2 linked regions of the Oryzias latipes genome follow. The protein of the gene in region 1 purifies or fractionates together with the protein of each later gene. This does not show direct contact. Links are inferred from orthologs where the notes say so. Each region holds a gene or a part of one and is shown on either strand. Other genes may lie near its edges.

Region 1 (9,797 bases):
AAGAAGAATGTGATTACGAAATTACAGTGATGTAACAGGAACGTTATATACATACACAATTTCTGGCAGGACAGATTAAAGTGTTACGCACAACAGATCAGCACACAAGAAGGTCGCGTCCCCAGACTACGGGTTCTGACATTTCTCTTTTCGGGTGAAGATGATGTCCACGTTGGTTCGACCCGGAGGGTTCGCTCCGTACCTTCAAGTGACCAAACACGGAGCTAAAAGCCTGCTGTTCCCCGGAGCCGCGGAGCCCGCTTGGGGTGAGGCCGAAGTGAACCAAGTTAGCCGGTGTCGACCGGCATGATTAGAGCGTTACACCTTTACAATTTTTTTAATCCGTAGATTACGTTTGTGTTTAATTTAGAGGCTTAGGCCGACATAAAACTGTATATATATCATGTTTACTGTGCTTTGTTTGGTGATTCAGACAGTAACAATTATAGAAAAGTAGAAAAATAAGTAGAAATATAACAAATCCGCAGATTTTTTTTAAGTTTTTTTGTTTCATGATAAAAAAAAAAAGATCATTTGATTATAGAGGCTCTGATTGACCAAATCCATATTATTAGCTTAGGGTGCAGAGCCCCCCTGTTCAGGACAGGAAGTTAACCTCCTCCTCAGGTGTTCACTAGAAAGGTAAAGCAGCTGCTGGAAGGACATGCGCTGTGTTGTGACACCGCCTGAGCCTTTTTTTTTTCTTGCCTCTGCTCCTGCAGGAACTCGTCTGGCCCACACAGACATCAAGATCCCGGACTTCTCAGACTACCGCCGTCCGGAGGTTTTAGACCCCAACAAGTCCTCGCAGGAGAGCAGCGAGGCGAGAAGAGCCTTTTCCTACCTGCTGACCGGAGCCACTACTGTCGTCGGTGTGTATGCAGCCAAAACTGTGGTCACCCAGTTCGTCTCCTCCATGAGCGCCTCAGCCGACGTCCTGGCCCTCTCCCAGATTGAAATCAAGCTGGGGGACATCCCGGAAGGGAAAAACATGACCTTCAAGTGGAGAGGGAAGCCTTTGTTCGTCCGCCATCGCACAGAGAAGGAGATCGCAACCGAGGAGGCCGTAAATCTCACAGAGCTGCGTGACCCCCAGCACGACAAAGATAGAGTGATCAACCCAAAGTGGGTCATCGTTCTGGGCGTGTGCACCCATCTGGGCTGCGTGCCCATCTCTAATGCGGGTGACTTTGGCGGGTACTACTGCCCCTGCCACGGCTCCCACTATGACGCCTCCGGAAGAATAAGAAAGGGACCCGCCCCCCTCAACCTGGAGGTCCCTTTCTACGAGTTCCCCGATGAAGAGACTGTTGTGGTGGGATAAAGAGTATTTTAAAAACGGCACCATAAGTTTATAAATCGTTTTAGGGAAAATTTCATTTACTGTGACTCCAGCAATAAGATGAATAAAGCACCTTAAGTCTTCTCAATCCTCTCTGCATTGACCTTCTCTGCCGGTAAGAATGTGAGATGGCGACAGAAAAGTTTTATTTTAGGCTTAGTGGAAAAAAACGGAGAGAATTCAGTCAATTAGGAAGCAGAAAAGGACAAAATCTGCCAGCAGAACAAACCTGGATCCCACAAAACATTGCAGAGTTTAATTAAAAAAACAAAAAAACAGCACCTACGGGCCACTTTTCTTTTATTAAAAATAAATACGATAATTCTTGTTAAATTGCAAACCATCTGATGAATGATGAATATACATCAGTAGTTTGGCTCAACATCAGTCTCGTCTGTCGCTGCATAAAATAAATAAGGCTTTACAAGAGGATTAAAAGATTTAAAATCATAATCATGACAGATAATAAAAGGCAGCTGCTTATTTGTCTTATGAGTCCATAGTGATACATGATCCTATATCAGTTTTAAAGTCATAATTTGTGATGGCACCTATACATGTCCAGAAAAATCTATACTATCAGTCCATGTAGTGCACCTCTGCCTGCAGCTCCTTGGTGACGTAACCAACCAGAGCGGCGGTCAGCTGCTGCTTCAGCACGCCGTTGCTCATCACCAGAGCAATCAGCTGAGCCACGTCCGTCCACTGAATGTCTCCAAGGACGGCCATCACGTCATCATACAGCTTCTGCTGCTGCGGGGGGCTGAGCTCCATGATGATCTGCGGCAGGGGTTTGAACTCTCCGCTGGTCAGCCAGCAGCCGAGAAGTCCGCCCACAGCGCCACCTGCAGGAGAGGTTTTAAACTAGCGTGATCGGGGAACGGTCCTGAGCAGACGTGAAGGTGGATTTTCCACTCACCCACGGCGATGCCAAGAGGACCTCCGATCAGGCCTCCAGCGAAGGCCAGCCCACCCGCCGCCGCCGCTCCCTTCCCAGAGCCTTTCACGGCGGTCTTGATCTGCTGGTTGGCGGACAACTCGCAGCAGAGCTTCATGACTTCATCGACTCGTGGGGCCATGCTAAAGGTCAGGGTTCAAGGTTCAGACAGTTCTCAACCAGACGATGCGTCACTCGGATTCTGTTATTCTGATACTTTCAGAAATGACAAAAAAGGCTTCACGCCATTCACCATCTACTTTATTAAGACTTTCATACCGTTCACTTCACTCTACAAAGGTTAGTCTTATGATCTTTAAAAAGACACAAAGGTCCATAAATGAAAGAGATTAGAAACTGATTTAAAAAAAAAATTGGAGATAAAAAATTATTTTTTGAAGACGAGTCTTAAATATGTCATTGTTCTTTGATGAAGTTTGGTTTCTATTTATCTTTAGTTTTAGTGAGGCGTCCTTATGTTGGATGTAGGGAGGCTTCCGGACATTCTGTGTGTTTTATCATTTCTATTTACAAATAAAGCACTTTGTGTTACTGCACAAAAAGTGACATGTCAATAAAGTTTGATTTGATGTGTTATTTATTGTGACATTGAATTTATTTTTGATGATTTTAAAGGAAAGACTACATTCCTTTTCTTCTGTTTTTTTTTTCTTTTAATCATTTCAGAATAAACAAAGAGAAAATAAAGGTTTGGAGAATTTTTAAAAGGAAAGCTGTTTCTGATCTGTTAACGTTTGTTAATTTCATGACAATAAAGAGAATTTAAACAAACCTGAAGGTGAATCAGATGTACATAAGTAGGATTAACGTTTTCATGCTAAACACACCAAAAACATTTGATTTAATCTGGTGATGGTCAATATAAACTATTTCTTAAAATTTATACTTAGAATATTTTGTCCTAAATTCAATTAAAACCTTAAGAATGGATTAAACTTGGTTTCCGGTCTTTAAATTGGTTTTAAACAGCCGAAAAGGCGCTTTAATCATGAGTAAATTGAAAGGCTAACGTGATGCTTTTGCTAGCTGGCTCTTTTTGTCTCTTTCAAACTATATAGTTTAATTTAAAACATAAATCCATAAGCGGAATAAAAAATAAATATACCGGACATACCTGACAAAATGATGAAATCTTTGACCCTTCTTAATGCGGTGAGGTCATTTTATCAGAAGTTAGGCTTTGCTGATCACCATCTTTAGCTAACATGTTTGTGTGGGTGGCGCAATGCCCGACGGGAAAAACAGCGGTGCTGCATTCAGGAAGTTTCGGAGCTTTGTGTTTCAACAAAAACACAATTCTATTTATTTTTTACTCCTTTATAAAGAAGCCTCAGTCATTTATTTATTGTTGGTGGAATAAGTTTGTATTCTTATCAAAATAGCTAATTTTATTCCATAAATGACACGAGGGACAGGAAATACAACAATCGTGGAGTTGGACAATCTGAATCGAGTAGCTGAACCTAAAGAATCAGTGTTTTATAAAAAATAAAATAAAACATTCACGAAGAAAGATGGCATAGCATAGTTGGGCTAGTAGAGATGCCAGAAGTAAAACTTTCCATTCACAATATATAAAAGGCGTCATGTTGTTGTTTGTATTATTATTATGATTATAATGATGATTATGATTATTATTATTGCTTTGTTTTATTGATCCATTATCATTATTTTTGTTCGGTTGTCAAAAAAAGAATAAATAAAAACTTGAATTATAAGAAAAACAACAATGGAGTTACGGCTCATTTTAAATGTTTAAACTGTTTTTCGTCCTCTTTTTCTGGTAAATTAAACTAATCGTAACATTAGTAAAAGGTTTTTCCACATGGTTCTAAAGTAAGCAAATGATAGTTAATTTTTAAGGTAATTGGATCTGTGAACACTGTGAATGTATAACTGCAATCCAGTCATCATAAATGATAATTTGAGAAACAGGTGTGTTGTGCTATTTGAACACCACAGATGCAGAAAGTTGTCACATTTCGTGTTTAACTAAAATTAGAAAAAGTTGAAGAAGGCCTGTAAGTCAGTATTCCGGGCTGCAGCTGTAAAGTTTGATCAAAAGTGAACATAAAACTGTGATTTTTGCTGTAATGACGTTATATTAAATGCCGACATCAAGAAAATGGATATTTTAACTAAAAGCAATAATTCGCTGTTCAAATCCAACAGAACATCCTTTATTGCATCTTCTTTCAACTATTTATAGTGCATCCAATTGCAACGCATGCAGACTAAAGTTTTTTTTTCTGAACTGACAGTTTAATTAAAGCTAGAAGTAATATTTTTTTTCTTTAACGTGTGTTTCTGTTTGTTAGTTTTTATACGTTTTAATGCTTGTACAGCTCTAAGTTAAGATTCGGTTTATTTTTTATGTTTCGTAAAATATTTACAATACTAAACATTTACCCAGAGTGCACTCTGGTAGACTTTTCTAGACGTCAAACAGAAATGACACGCTTGGTTTTCAAAGTAAGAGCGAACATTTAGATAACGTGTTAACATTTTAAGAAAAACACATGTAAGATACGTGATAACGAAGATTAAATTGGCATGTAATTTATGGTTTGGTGTTTTGGGAGAAACTTGCATAAAAAAACGTTGCCCACTCCAAGTCTCTTCCGTTCACGGGTTTTATTTTGAAACTAAAAACCGGAACAGCTCCCGTTTCTTCCCCTGTGGGTCGATCTGCACAGCGAAAGAAGCGAGGAGTTCTCTGCTAACCTCTGGATCCAAACTCGGCGGATTTTTTTGGAGATCATGCAGAAGCCGTGAAATGAGCGTGTGAGATGATATCACCTTCGGACGTGAGGATTACCGTCGATGCCCCGTTGATGAAGGCGCGCGGGACGGGCCTCCGGAGGAGCTGCTGCTGCTGCGTTCATAAACACTTCTTTAGGACTCACAACAAACCCTGAGCTTTGGTGCTCCTCAGAGCCCCAAGGCACCTGTGCACGTGCGGAGTAAGGATGGCTGGAGGAGGAGGTAAAGCGAACATGAAGCCCCTCGGCGGGGTTCACAGGCTCCGAGAGGAGCACGAGAAGGTAAGAGGAGCGCGTGAGCAGATCTGCAGCTGCGGGCCACGAGGCTTGTTTCCTTCTGAAAACATCCTCCTCTGCAGACATGAGCCGCAAATACGGAGAAAGAAGATTCGTTTCTTTTCTTTGCCCTGCTTCAGGTGAATTAGATCAACCCACAAGCCCCTCCCCCAAACCTTTACCTGAGCTTTTACTCCTGCAGGTTGTTTGGTTTCAGACTCCATGTTTACAGGCTGCCTTTGCTGCTAACTTCTGTTTTTTCTCTCTCTCTCTCTTTCTCTCTGTTTGGCTAATAAGGAACACAAAACTCAGTTTGATAGCATGAAAACATGTATGTTGTGTTGAACGTGTCATGTTGTTCATGAAAGCATTTTTTTCCTGCATCAGGTGGTGAAAGACTGTGACTCACGGATTCAGCATTGGTAAGCTGCACAGTCCTGAAAGTTTCTCCTCTTCTACGGTTTCCTCTCTGCTTTGAGTGTGAATGTGTACGACTTGGATATGAATGCAACAAAGACGCTCAAAGTTTGCAGGAGAATAACCCCCCTCCCTTTTTTTTAAGCTGCAGTCATGGATTTAGATGATCGCATTTTCAATTTTAGAACTTGACGGTTAAAGCTTCCCATATTATTTTCCTCATATGGCAAAGACAAAAGTTTTTCTAGGATTTAGCAGTCTATCGCCACAGCATGATACTTCCGCCACCCTGCTTTACCATGGAGACACGCCCCCACAGAAGACTAGTTTAGCTCCTAAACCGTCCCTCGCCCACAGTCGGCCCTGATGCAACATTTCCTTTTGTGGTCCGTTAGCAACTTCCATATTTTTGCAGAATTCTCCCCTTTTTCTTTGCTTTCTCTTTCATTTTCTAGGATGTATGAGAACAAAATAATTCAGAAAGATGCAAAAAACAAACCAGATCAGCCAATTTAAACTCCACTATCTGATGAGGTTGACATCGTTTACTCGCACCAGGCGAATAATCTTAAGAAATTAGGTAATAATTGGCGTTTATTTGTTTAGGGAAACGTTTATTTTTTCTGCTCTGTTTTTTTTACTATATAAACTATAAACTTTCAGGTTATTTTGTGAGTTATACTCTTGTAAAAATGTAGTTTAAATGCATTTAAATGTCCTTTTTTCCTTAAAGATTTTCAGCAGTCATTTATTTTGGTTTTGTTTACAGTCTTCATGAAGGCGTAAAAGTTTTTTTTAATCTCTAATGCAAGTTAATAAAAGTTAAGATGTTTTGGTTTAAAGTAGTTTTCCTTATAGATGATTGTCATTGCCCCCTTGTGGCCATCTGAGCAATAACATCCTTTAACTTTACTCATCATTTTATACCCAAATCGCATCAATTGGGTTAAATTCTGAATATTTCTGTGACCCGACCTGCAGGATGAAGGTGTCGGGTGATTACGACGCGCTCAGCGATCGACTCAAAACCCTCCCAGACCGGCTCTCCTATGACATCATGGTGAGCGCTCGCCGTTTCACTTGACAAGTTTACAGAGTGACCCAAAAACCAAAACTTTACTGGAAGTTCTGTGTCTCCCGTTTGCTCCATGTTCGCGCCCACTTCCTGTCAGCTGCTCTGACTAACCCGGTTCTGTTCTGTGGCCCGTCCGGGCCTCCTTGTGCTGTGAGCAGGTGCCCTTCGGCCCGCTGGCCTTCACGCCCGGCAAGCTGGTGCGCACCAACGAGGTCACCGTGTTGCTGGGCGACAACTGGTTCGCCAAGTGTTCGGCCAAACAAGCCCAAGCGGTGGTGGATCACAGGATGAAGCGTGAGTTTCTGAACGGCGGCGTGTGGCTGCAGAGCGGCGGCCTGTGGCTGCAGAGCGGCGGCCTGTGGCTGCAGAGCGGCGGCGTCTCCAGCGGGGGGCGGCAGTGCGTCACATTCCGACAGCCTGAGCTTTACTTTACAGACGTTTCTGGGCTCAGGATGAAGTACGTCTTTGTGTAAAAGCGTTTGGACTCGTTCTTTACGTCAGTGACGGCTGCAGGCTTAGCCCCCCCCCCCCCCCCCCCCCACCACCACACTTTTGTGGCCAGGTTATAGACCGCTATGGTCGTTTGGCGTGTTGTCCGGACGCTACAGCCTTTACCTCCACATAAAAAAACCCTCTCTGATTTGAACATTATTAGACTGTTTAGTGAAGCAGAAATGCCCCCCCCCCGCCCCCCCCTCTCCTGACCCCCGCCATCCCTGCTATTACACAGCTAAGTGCTGTAATGCAAACACAGCGAGCTGAAATGTGTCAGACAGCGGCTGAGCTGTCTGGCCTTCTGCGTTTGACCTTTCCTCACTTCCAGTTGATGCACTGACTGGAGGGGCTCGCCATCGCCATGGAAACAAGGGCCCTCTGCTGCTATTAGTGAAAGGGCTTAATTGTTGTGAAGATTTAATGATCCGGAGTAGCATTCAGGGCAGAAGATATTATGAACTGTTTGTGTCATCATTTTTCTCCCCCCCCCTCGCGCTTTTCCTCGCCTTGTTTGGGGGTTTTAACTCTTCAGCAGCTGCTCGTCACAGCGATGCACGTTTCACGGCGCCCTGCCGCCGCCGCCGCCAGCCTCTGCGCGTTCTCGTTGTTGTCGGAGCGCCGTCGCCGCCTTCTCTCATGAAAATGCTTCTGTGTTCCAGACGTGAAGAAAGAACTGGACGACCTCGCCAAGACCAGGAAGAACTTTGAAGCGCGGGTTGGGCTCGCCAAGGATCTGGAGACCATGTCGGCCGTACGTGGCGTTTCTGCGAGTCCTCACACACGAACACACACACACTAATCTATTGACTCTCGGCTGTAGAATAAAGGAGAGTTTGTGGACATCAGAGAGGAGGTCACGAGCTCCACCGCCAGCAAAGGTATCTTCACAGAACGTTCTTCCTCCTCCTCCTCTTCCTCGCTGTGATTAAAGACGGTTCTCCTTCAGCAGAGTGACGTTTGCTTCTTCTCACAGGGAAGCAGAGAATAGCTCACAAACCAAACTCCAAACCAAAGCTGGACGTCGTGGTTGATCTAAACGAGGAGGAAGAGGAGAAGGAAGGAGGGACAGGAACCATGACCGAGGAGGAGCTGTGGCGCCGGTTGGATGAACTTGAAAGACTGGAGGAGCTGCAGGACGAGCAGGACAGGTAGACTCCGCCTCCTCCTCTGTGCTAAAGAGCTGAACTTCAGAGGATCCCAACTGATATGTTTCTCCTCAGATTGTCCGATACCGCCGACACGAACGGCGACGACTCATCCTCGTCTTCCTCAGAGGAGGAGAAGGAGGCCGCCTGCGCGCCTCCCGTCAACGGCCTGAAGCCCGGCTGGAGCCCCGCCCCCCACAGCGACCCTCCACTCCCCAACCGGAAAGCAGAAGATGACGAGCAGGAGGAGGAAGGCAGCTGTCTCCCCACCATCTTCTTCTCTCACACAGTTGAACCGAAGAAGGTGCGTTTACAGATGGGGGGCGGGGGCTCTTTGCTCCGCGGCGTCCGCGTTGAACAGCTTCACCTGTGTTTCAGGTGAGAATCAACACGGGAAAGAACACCACGCTGAAGTTCAGCGAGAGGAAGGAGCAGAAGGAGCATTCAAAGAGGAAGAAGAAGAACGGCCACAGCAACGGGCACGCTCACCACGAGCTCCACAAAATCACGTCTCCAGCGGACGTTTACAGGTGTGGGAGGGGCTAGCAGCTGCAGCTCACCACCATGCGGTTGTTCGGCGTGCTGATGGCGTTTGTGTTTGCTCAGGCTCTTTGTGGACGTGAGGAACGGCGAGCCCGTCCCCAGAAAGTCCATCCTGAAGTCTCGCAGTCGAGAGAACAGCGTGTGCAGTGACACCAGCGAGAGCAGCGCCGCCGACTTTGAGGAGCGGCGCGTGACGGGGCGGAGCTTCAGCCACGACGAGGCCACGCACAGCGACACGAGCGACGGCGTCACGGAGGAGGACAGCCCCACCGCCGGGCCTCTGCTGAGCCGCTTCGAGGTGAACGCAGACGCCGTGGCGGCGCGCGTCCGGCGCGAAGGTTTCCCGGCTGACGGCTTTTCTTCTCCTCCCAGGCCTTTTCCGGGACGGTGATAGAGAAGGACCCCATGCCCACAGGAGTCCCCCACCTGACCATCCTGCCCCCCGCGCTGCCCACCATCCCAGAGAGGAAGCAGGAGGAGGTGGCGTCGGACGTCACGCCGCCGCCGGTGCCGCCGGAGGCGTCTAAAAGATTGTCAAAGTTTAAAGCTGCCAGGTTGCAGCAGAAATGACATTTGAAGATGAGATTATTCTTTCACCAGTAAACAACTTTTATATTTCCTTACTGTAACCACGCCGCTTTCCCAGCATTCCCCGGGAAGCGTGCAGTAGCCACATAGATGCGTCTCTTGTTGCTGCGTTTGTGACGCGTTGAGCCGCCAGGTGAGTCTGGCTGCAGGCTCTGGGCGCCGTGGCCTTCCTCTCTTTGTCAGAACCAGGGGCGGC
Region 2 (9,881 bases), on another chromosome or scaffold:
AAAGTAAAGAACTTTTTAGGCCTTCAAAAATATAAACATAAAATAACACTGAGTGGTAAACACTCCACAAACATAAGTTGTCAGTTCCTTCAAATGAAAAGTTTGGATTTCATACCTTGATTTCGTAGTTCTTAAAGAAGACGTTGGCCTTGAAGTAGTAAATAGCCTCATCAATTATATCAGACTCTACACCTGGAGAAAAAAAACATTCACGCATTAGCAAACCAATATTATACATTTTTTAATTAACTACCACTTAACCTTTTAATATCCATGGGCAAAATTATGTCACTTCCTGTTTTTCAGAAGCCCATTTTTTATGCTTTTTGTTCTTAAATCTGAAAGATAGCGACTAAACAGACAAAAACATTGCAAAATTGAGCACCTTTTAAAAAAAATGCAATTCTTTAACACTTGAAGAGAAAAAATAGATACCATACTACGTCAATAAAGGAGGTTTTTCGACCTAAATAAAACAAGTCAATAACTACCAACCTGGGGATTGACTTCAGACCATAAAAGGAAGTTCAGCTGACACTTAAATAAGGAACTGAGCAGACGCTCTATGCATGTAAAACTCTGAATGGTGCCAAGTCAAACAAGAGGAGATTTTTTTGGTCATTAAACCTATCTGGTAGTTTGGGATTTGTATCGGCAGACGGAACATTTATGCAGTTGCACCAGCCTGTGAATGGGTCATGAAAAATGCTCACCGTCTCCCCTCGCTGGTCCTTTAAACTGAGTTTTGATGGGGAGCAAGGCCATGTTTCCGATCATCCTGGTGTTCGGCTCCATCAGGTTGGAGTGATATGCCTGACATTATAAAGAAACAGGAACACATCGCTGTCATCAGAACCACCAGTTCAGATATTCCAGCAGCGCATATATATCACTGTAACAAAATCAGTAATCCGCCACTTTCCATGTCTCCCTAATCAGGTAATGTCAAAATAAGTGTAAACGTCACAAAGTAACAACAGATTTGTTCATTTATACGTGCGAAACTTTAAAATTGCTAAAATGCCAAAGAGGCTAGCAAGCATAAGCTAAGCTAAAAGACTCATCATCGTGAAGCTAGCGTTAACCAGAATTTTAGGCTAGCTATTTTTGCTTTAGCCGGCAAAATTTACACACAAAAACTAATAAATAAACATTGAAAAAAGGCATGAAGGATGGTATTTACTAACCGGCATGTTGACTGAAATCTATCAATCCAACTGCTCAGCAAGTGGAATGTCAGCACAGCGAGACGCTACTTCCGGCTGTCGCACCCTTTGAGTTACAGGAAGTGGCTGGATGTCATGTGGCGTTGCAACCACTTGGGGGCGCTGACACGTGGTTTGAGTTTACAAGGCCATTTTTGACATTTTGTTTTTAGTTTGTGACTTTATGATTTTACAAAGCAACAAGGCATGTGTTTTATTGATTTTATTAGAAAAAATAAATAGCATTATATCTTCCTTTGATAATAAATCAGAGTTTTCCACAGAATCAACACAGAAACAAAACAAAAAAACGAAACGATGAGGCTAAAAAACACCCAATAAAAAACTCAAATTTCTTTTCTTTTTTGTTTTTGTTTAAATCATGCAGTCAATGCAACCTTTCAATCAGTCAAACATCGTTGTCAACTATTGTATCTGGATTCCAGCTTCAGCTGCCAACTGTGTCTTGGAATATCTCGTCATAATTTAGATTAGCTGGTTCTTCATCCCCTTCCTGCAAAAGACAAAAAGCAAAACCTCAAATGTCACATAAAAGATCAAAGATCAAAGAAATCATCTTTTCTCTAGAGATGTTCTCACCTTTGGCTCCTTTAACTCCAGGTCCTCTCCATACTGAATGGAAAAGTCGATGTGCTGCAGCACTATGTTAATACCCTCCTCATCAGTCCGGTCAAAGGGCAGAAACCTTACCATACTGTAGTCATCTATCTGGACAAAGAAGCCAAATGTTTAGAGAATTTTAAAAAATCAGCAATGACACACGACAACAGATTAGGCCACAAAGCTGCAAGTCCACTTACAAGATCACAAATAGCTTTGGTTAGCTTCTTGAACTTGGCGCTTCTGATTGTATGGGAGCTATCTTCCATCATTGAGTACATGTCTGGGTCCAGATACCTTCAAAAAAACAACAACACAAACACGCATTTCATGAAGGAACATTTACTTACTTCTGCAAACTTACAACACTCAGTTAAAGAAAAATCAAAATAAATAAATCAAAAGTGTTCATTCATGCTTTTAACATAGAAAAACAAAAACCATAAGCAAAACTTTATGTTTGTTTCCCAGCAGGTCCAACCTACACTTTGAGAAATCTAAATTCTAGTCAGCAAATACTTGCTAAACTGTTAATTATCAAAAATATGTCATTACTGGCAATAAAAGTGAGTATTTTAAATAATTTCTGTTGTATTTGGACTTCATAAAAATATTAAATTTATCACTATATATTTATCATTTTTAGTTTAATTATTGTAAATATTTAAACGTTACTTTTAATAAATGAATGTATGTAGGCAAAAAATAAATTAAGTTTATTTTTCCAATCATTAAGTGGAACCTTGTGGAACTTGCTGGGTTTTAATCTGTAAGAAACTAGTAATAAAGGCAGCTTTTCTTTAGTTTTTCCAAACTCACCTCTTCAGATGTTTCTATTTTTCTAAATTAATCTCTACATTTGCTTGATTTTGTTTTCTGACTGTATTAAGAATGGTTGTAAATAATCAATTCTGTGGCGTTTTAATTTTTTTCTGAAAGCTGGCAGATGTGCTTTGTCCGTACTTTTCAATTTCCTTCTTGGCTTTGGGGCTCAGCAGGTCCATCTTTGTCATGATGTTCACTTGTGGAATTTCCAGGGACACCATGGCGCTGAGGGCAGCCATGACTCCAGAGATAAACTGCAGGGAAACAAAGAGAAAAGCTGGTGCTGATCAGTTCAGGTTCTACACAAACAAACAAAAATAACAACACAGAGCAAAGGATACATATATATACCTTAAAAGATTCCACCATGAACTGGGAATCAACCAAAAACACTCCGCAAACCCGAAACTCCCACTGTTGGAGCTGCTCCACCAGCTGCCTCATCACAGGCAGGTGGGTGTACAGTTCAATCTGACCTGCAGAGAAAAAAAAAACAAATTACATCCGGTACCAGAACACCTCCGGATGCTGGATTTACAATCACGAACCCTCAACTCCCTGCAGAAACCGAGCTGAGGCTTTTACCTGGGCAGTCGAACAGTATGTAATCGTCTTCCACGTGACCTAAGCTTTCCTCCAGCCAGTCGAAGTTGTTAGCAAAGTACTCCATGCAGAACACCAGGCCTCCGTTGGGGCCGAACCTGAGAGAGTCATCCTCCATGACATCGTCCACCTGGATGAGCTCCCGGATGTCTGAAAGCACAAAAAAAAAAAACACAAGGCATTAATTCCTGGAAACGGACTTAAAAAAACAACCTTCGCAGGATCTCACTTTTCACTAATCATCTACTTTTGCTTCTAATTTCAACGACGGGCGATAAAAGTATTTGTCAGCCACCGATTCTGCAAGCTGTCCTACTTAAAAATGGTAGAGGTCTCTAAAGTTCATCATAGCTAGATACACTTCAACCGTGAGAGAGACAATAAAAAAAAAAAGAATCCAAGAAATTGTATTTTAGGATTTTGAAATCATTTATTTATTCAGTGGTGCAAAAAGTACCACAGAAGTATTTATCTCCTACAAACGACCAGGATGTCTGTCCCTCACAGACCTGTTACTTCTTTAAGAAATTCTTCCATGTTTCCTGTGTTAACGTCACCTGTTTGCTATATGATCTTGAGAACGATGAGGAAACCGCCCAGAACTACACAAAAATGGAACTCTTTGGCATCAACGCCACTTGCAGTTTTTTGCGGCGAAAGATCGCCAATTCACATCCCAGGAACACATTACCTACTGTGAAGCATGGGGGTGGAAACATCATGAATTGGGCCTGTGTTTCTGCTCACTGGACATTACAACTGATCCTTGTTACGAAAAGGATGAATGGAGAGATTTTGGGCAAAAGAAAACTTCTTCTTTCAGTGGGAGTACTGAGGATGAAATGTGCCTGGATCTTCCAGCATGACAAAAATCTCAAACACATTGCCTAGAGCAGTGTTTTTCAACCAGTGTGCCGCGGCACACTAGTGTGCCGTGGGAGATGGTCCAGTGTGCCGTGGGAAATTGCCCTCATTAACTGATCTAAAAACATTTCCCATCTCCAGGAAATCAGCTCTGTGTTCATCCAAACAGGCCCTGATAAAACACTGAGTAGTTAGGAATATAAAAGATCACAAAATTATTTTTTCTTTGTGTTTATTTGATTCTATTAAAGACATTTTGATAAGAATGACGGTACCGCGATTTGGCTGCAGCTTTAGCTGTTTTAGGAAAAGTCCCGCCCCTTTAACTGTCTCCGCCAATCATTCTTGAAGGTTTAATCACATGTCATCAGTCTGACCAATCAGAAGTGGTTAAAGTCTTCACTTCCTTGTCCCGATTTAGCTCATAAAGTCTCTCGGTTCTAACAAAAATACCAGCCAAAGGTCGTCTTTAGCGGTGTAGCTTTCCACAGAATCCGGTGTCAGACCGTGGAACAAGTGAACAAAACATTGAAGCTTCTGCCCTTTTGCGGCAGTTTTCACACTACATCTCCCACGATGCACTGGGTTAAAGGGACAGCGTCTTAGCGTACAATGAGTCGTCCTTGTTAAATGTCTTGAAACCACAACAAACACACATGAAACAGTTTTTGAATTTTCTAACTTAACTTTTATTTCATCTTTTAGAAAAAACAGCTGCAACTTCCTGTTTTTTCTGCCCCAATTATCACAAAAATGCACGTGAGATTGCGGGGGGGGGGGGCTGTCGATCAATACAGACTGAGTTTTTTTTTGGATGCTGGTGTGCCGCTGTGTCTTTGTCAAGGTTAAAGTGTGCCGTGGCTCAAAAAATGTTGAAAAACACTGGCCTAGGCAACACAAAAGTGGCAAAATATGAACCATTTTAAGGCTCTGGAGTGGTCTAGCTAGACTGTGGACCTCAATCCAATAGAGAATCTGTGGAGGGAGATGAAAGTCTGTGATGCTCAGTAACGTCAAAGCTCTTGAGGAGATCTACATGGAGAAATGGACCAAAAGAGAAGACCCAATGAAAATGTCTGACCTCTATCAAAAGAATTGAGATGAACTTTTGATATTGACCAAATACTTATTTTCTACTTCACTTTACAAATGAAGTCTTTAATTTGTAACATTCTATCTCTCAATACTGAGGTGTATCCATAATATGACTTAGGAGTGAATGAATAATGGACACATAATAAGCACTTTAAGCGTCTGGAAAAGCGCAGAAAGATCCAATCCACTATTATTATTATTAATATTGTTATTATTATTATATAAACTTAAAGATTCAATAAAATACTTTTTTTTTAAACAAAAGTAAATTAGGTTCAACAGATCTCAAGACTTTAACAAGGATTTACCAACGTCAGAAAGGACATCCTGCTGTCATAGATGGATTACCATGACAACATGATCGTTTTTTAATTTTTTTGTTTTCATATTTGGAGACACAAACGGTTCATTTTGAGCATACTAACCTGCCATAACAGGGTAATTAAAGTGTTCTGCTGCTGGATCCAGGTTGACCACCTGAACTGAGCGGTTCAAAGCCTCTGCATGCTGGGTCATGGTGGAGCAGTACGTACTCTGAAATATTAATAATAATATTTTAAAAAGATACAATTAATGGCAAAACACAATAACAAAATAAAAACACGCTGGGTGACTGACACCACCTCATGTACTGTTAGCAACAACAGACAAGAGGCTGTAGACCATCCAGTGGCATTTTTGAAAACATACCTTTCCGCTACCAGCCGGGCCCATCACCAACTGGGCATAGCGAGGCATTTTCTCTGAAAAATGCGGTGTGATAAAGATCTTAAGTATCTTTAACCACAGACGCTAGCTTGTAATGCCATACGCATCGGTGTGATGACGCTACTTCTTCTTCTCCGGTAGATGATTTACGGTCAGGCTCATTACTGCCACCTACTGATCAAAAGAGGAAATGGAAGTCAGGGTGACAGTGGTCTGAAAAAGAGCCACAATGGAATGAACTGGTGATGAATTATTACACCTTTCGCACGGTGGATGTGAAAACAAAAATGCAATCCCATCTTTGCATTTTCGCTTTAATTATGCCACAGAATAAGCGGTGTTGAAGAAGAAAAAGAAAAGCAGATTGGCTCATTCGTTTGTAATTTTATTTTTTAATTCACTTGATGCAGTTACATTTTCAAAATGAAAAAGCATTTCTGTTAATAAACTTTGATGATCAAAGAAGATATTTCTAATTACATTATGCTACACATTTAGTAAAAAATGTCGAATACCATTTTCTTTCTCATTTTAATTAAGTGACAGAATGAGCTGTGTTGAAGAAGAAGAAAAAGAAAAAGTGGTTTGGTCGGATTGTTTTTTTTTTTATTATAAATTATTACAAATGCAGCTTCATTTTAAAAATTGAAAAAGCATTTCTGGTATTGACTTTCATTTTAAAATATACTACAGAAATCTTCCATACGAATGTACTGATGATGAGCATTGAACCAATATAGTGAGGAAAATACTGTGCAACAATTGTTTTCTTTTTGTGTGTCAATTACCATTGAGTCGCAAATTCTGTGGCAGTGTCAGTTGTGGCATTTTTTTAAGTTTCCCCAGGAAATGAAAAATTTTGCTCTTTAACTTTAAAATTGCTTTATTAAAACCATATGTATTTATTTGAACAAGTCGTTTAAACTGCCTATGATATGACCACGATAACCATGAAACTTAAAGCAAAGATCATGACAATAAGTTGTTCACAAACTGGCCGTTAGGGAGCGGTAGAGCCCCAGGGATCTTTGCTGTCAACAAACGAAACCACCAAAATTGAGTAAGAAGTAGAAAGTGACTGCATCAACATGCGATGATCAGGTGAAATTTGGAAACGTATGCAAGCCTTCCTGCTCACCAAGTTTGTTGATTGCGTCCTTCATCAGGCGCTTAAATTAATAGTATGTTTCGAGGAAGTGAATGGAGTTAACAGGCCAAGTTTGTGTACAGACATTACCGCGTGACGGTGGACTTCTTAGCAGGTACTACTACTACTACTAACTATGGCAAGTCTTTGTTTTTCTATTTTTTAAAACAAATGTTTTCTTTTTTTGTTGTATTTTTTTTTGCTGTCTGAAACACGTTCATGTTAATTTTCGTCAGTGCTTTCGATTTACGTGATATGAAATAGTTTCACTTCAGGAACTACCTTAAGGTTTGTTGTTAGCATAAGGCTCTGTATTTGTTTACGAGCGATAATAATCCTCTCTTTTTTTAAATCCTAGTTATAAATGACTATAATAATCGTTTGTGTAGCGTTAAAAAGTAATGAGGTCTGAAAACCTCCGTTAAGATAAATGAACCTATAAGTAAACATTAATTGTTTACAAATGACGTTTGCTTTCAAGAATTCTCGATAAGCTGCTCAGGAATGAGGTAACAAAACCCCAAAAGAGTCCAGCTTTCAACAATTATCCACTCTCTTTGTTCTGTTAAATTGTTCACATTATATTGTTTGGTTTTTATGTTTACAATTGTGTCAAATTGTCAGGAAAATGTACAATTAAAAAGATTCTGTTCTCCATTGAAGGCTTTTATTTTGGAGATAAAGAATTTCCGGGTTTGTTTTCTCTGCTCATTTTCCAGAGTCATAGGATATGAGTTTAGGGAATGGGGGATAGTCAATGTGGAGAGCTGGACTACCTGATCCAGGATGAGGACACCATCATCGAAGGTGTCAGCAACCAGGTCCTGTTTGTTGTAGTTCTCAGTTTGACCTTCCTGGCGGGCCTCCTCACTCTTCTCTGCAGGTAATGAAGACCAACAAGTCTGTGCAAAAACTGGCAGCATTGAGTTCATGCAGTGTTTTTACTGTGCTGTTCTCTGCTGATTGGAGAAATTATGCTGCTGTTTAATTTATGTGATATCACAGATATAGGAGCTAATTCTAGAATTTAAAGCGACTGAAGTAACGCCAGATCGATCAGGCTCGTTTCCCTGCGCAACGAGCAAAATGATGGTCTTTGCGCTCCAATCAAAGTTGGCAGATCATTTTACTTACATCATCATTATGAAATTTTCTTTCATTGATCCATTTCTTACCGCAACGACGGTTGAAAACCTTTTGTCCTTCAGGCAGAAACACATAAGTGAGAATTGACACACTCAGATTGCCTCTCTTTGCGTTAATCTGTTGCAATCTTTTTGTTTTTGGATTTTTCAAGTCAGGGATTTAAGGATGAATTCAATCATATATGACATAATTCATCCTAGTGTCTGATCATTATTCTTTGTCTTCTTTTTTAAGGCAAGATGAGCAGAATATCCACCCTGAGAACCAGGAGCATGTCCGAGCGGTCCGACAGCAGCTTCAAACTGAACAGGTGCGCAACCTAGAAAGAACCCCAGAAAGTTTTTGGCAAAACCTAGACTAGTTGTAGCCACAGAGCGCCGTTTTTCTCTTCTGTTGCTTAATTCTGAGTTTCAAAATAAAATCATTCACTGCTCTATTTTTTTAAAAAATCAAACAAGTAAACAGAAAATAAATGTAGCTTGTTTTTTTTTTTTAACTCTTGGAGTTGTAATACTTTAAAATAACCTTTTTATTTATTTATTTATTTATCTGAGTAAGTTAAAACTACATTTTTAAAAATATTTATACATATACATATACAGACGGCCAGTATCTTCAGTATTGAATTGAGTTTAAACTGTTTGCTCATCGTCACCTCAAAAGGCTTTAAAATTCAGTGAGGAGTTAAGAACATATGTAAGCAGGCAGACACAGGAAATGGAGGAACTGCAGAATCAGAACCACTACATTGAAATATTTCATAACAGTGATCTTTGCAGCTCTGCAGAATCACCGATTCTATTTTAGGAAGATGTCTTTCTGTGTATTTTATTTTGTCAAACGTCCTGTTTGCAATGGTGAGACGTGTTCTCTGCGTGTGGTTTGTCAGGATGAAAACCCTCAGGCAGAGGCCAGGCAGCAGTTCTACACAGACATGTCTTGCCCCGTCTGTTTGCAGCAGGCGGTTCTGCCCGTGGAAACAAACTGTGGACACCTTTTCTGTGGTAAGAAAGAGTTTAGAAGCAAAGTATAGTTTAGGGGTTCCTCACACAATTTATTAGTGAAGGTACTTTTGATATTCTGTGAGGAAATTGTACAATCTTGTGCTAATTTCTTCTAAATCTCCTGTAAAACAGGTTTTGTTTTAATTTTAATAGTTGGAAGTTGTGTCAAACCCTCATCAATGAGATATTTTACTTAGATGTGGATTATTTATGGTTTTTAAGATGTTAACATATTCTTACACAGGCTCCTGCATCATGGCTTACTGGAGATATGGCACCTGGCTTGGTGCCATCCACTGCCCAATCTGCAGACAAATTGTGAGTTTTATTGCTTTTATATCTATATTTTATTTTCAAGCAATATTTATTAATATGTCTAATTATCCAAGCTTGATTAGTTATGGTATGAATGTATAACGGATGATTTTATTGTTTTTGTATATTATTTCTATTTGATTGCTTGAAATAAACCATTTCAAATCAAATCAAAAAATATTTTATTGCCAAAATCTCTGTTTTATGACATGATTTTTTTATTTTTTTTCCTAAACTGATTTTTCTAGTAAAACTGGGAAAGGGTCCTTAGTGACTGTTGCTGAAAGTTAAACATCTCTATAGAAAAGATCTGTTTTTTCTAGCATAATCTGTTGGGAATGGTTTAAA

What was found. Proteins that work in one complex are often made in the same cells at the same time.
Region 2: the proteins of uri1 (region 1) and gpn3 purify together in Homo sapiens (affinity purification with mass spectrometry; 3 studies listed by BioGRID and IntAct, with this or other methods). This does not show direct contact. The link is inferred for Oryzias latipes from reciprocal best matches to the Homo sapiens genes URI1 and GPN3.

The regions. Positions count from the first base shown.
Region 1 is NC_019864.2:30,473,092-30,482,888, forward strand, and holds the start of uri1 (unconventional prefoldin RPB5 interactor 1), read left to right. Parts: upstream 1-4,951; 5' UTR 4,952-5,269; coding exon 5,270-5,344; intron 5,345-5,725; coding exon 5,726-5,760; intron 5,761-6,736; coding exon 6,737-6,815; intron 6,816-6,988; coding exon 6,989-7,124; intron 7,125-7,984; coding exon 7,985-8,076; intron 8,077-8,145; coding exon 8,146-8,203; intron 8,204-8,298; coding exon 8,299-8,473; intron 8,474-8,545; coding exon 8,546-8,774; intron 8,775-8,848; coding exon 8,849-9,000; intron 9,001-9,076; coding exon 9,077-9,311; intron 9,312-9,385; coding exon 9,386-9,583; 3' UTR 9,584-9,797. Other genes in the region: cytochrome b-c1 complex subunit Rieske, mitochondrial, read left to right, coding at 161-266, 714-1,324; protein C19orf12 homolog, read right to left, coding at 1,922-2,187, 2,262-2,421. UniProt on the Homo sapiens protein: Involved in gene transcription regulation. Acts as a transcriptional repressor in concert with the corepressor UXT to regulate androgen receptor (AR) transcription.
Region 2 is NC_019870.2:16,797,911-16,807,791, forward strand, and holds gpn3 (GPN-loop GTPase 3), read right to left. Parts: upstream 6,067-9,881; 5' UTR 5,952-6,066; coding exon 5,904-5,951; intron 5,748-5,903; coding exon 5,639-5,747; intron 3,405-5,638; coding exon 3,237-3,404; intron 3,128-3,236; coding exon 3,003-3,127; intron 2,906-3,002; coding exon 2,790-2,905; intron 2,124-2,789; coding exon 2,027-2,123; intron 1,935-2,026; coding exon 1,806-1,934; intron 1,720-1,805; coding exon 1,654-1,719; 3' UTR 1,414-1,653; downstream 1-1,413. Other genes in the region: arpc3 (actin-related protein 2/3 complex subunit 3), read right to left, coding at 116-192, 714-813, 1,188-1,193; E3 ubiquitin-protein ligase RNF170, read left to right, coding at 7,812-7,951, 8,449-8,524, 9,104-9,218, 9,463-9,536. UniProt on the Homo sapiens protein: Small GTPase required for proper localization of RNA polymerase II (RNAPII). May act at an RNAP assembly step prior to nuclear import.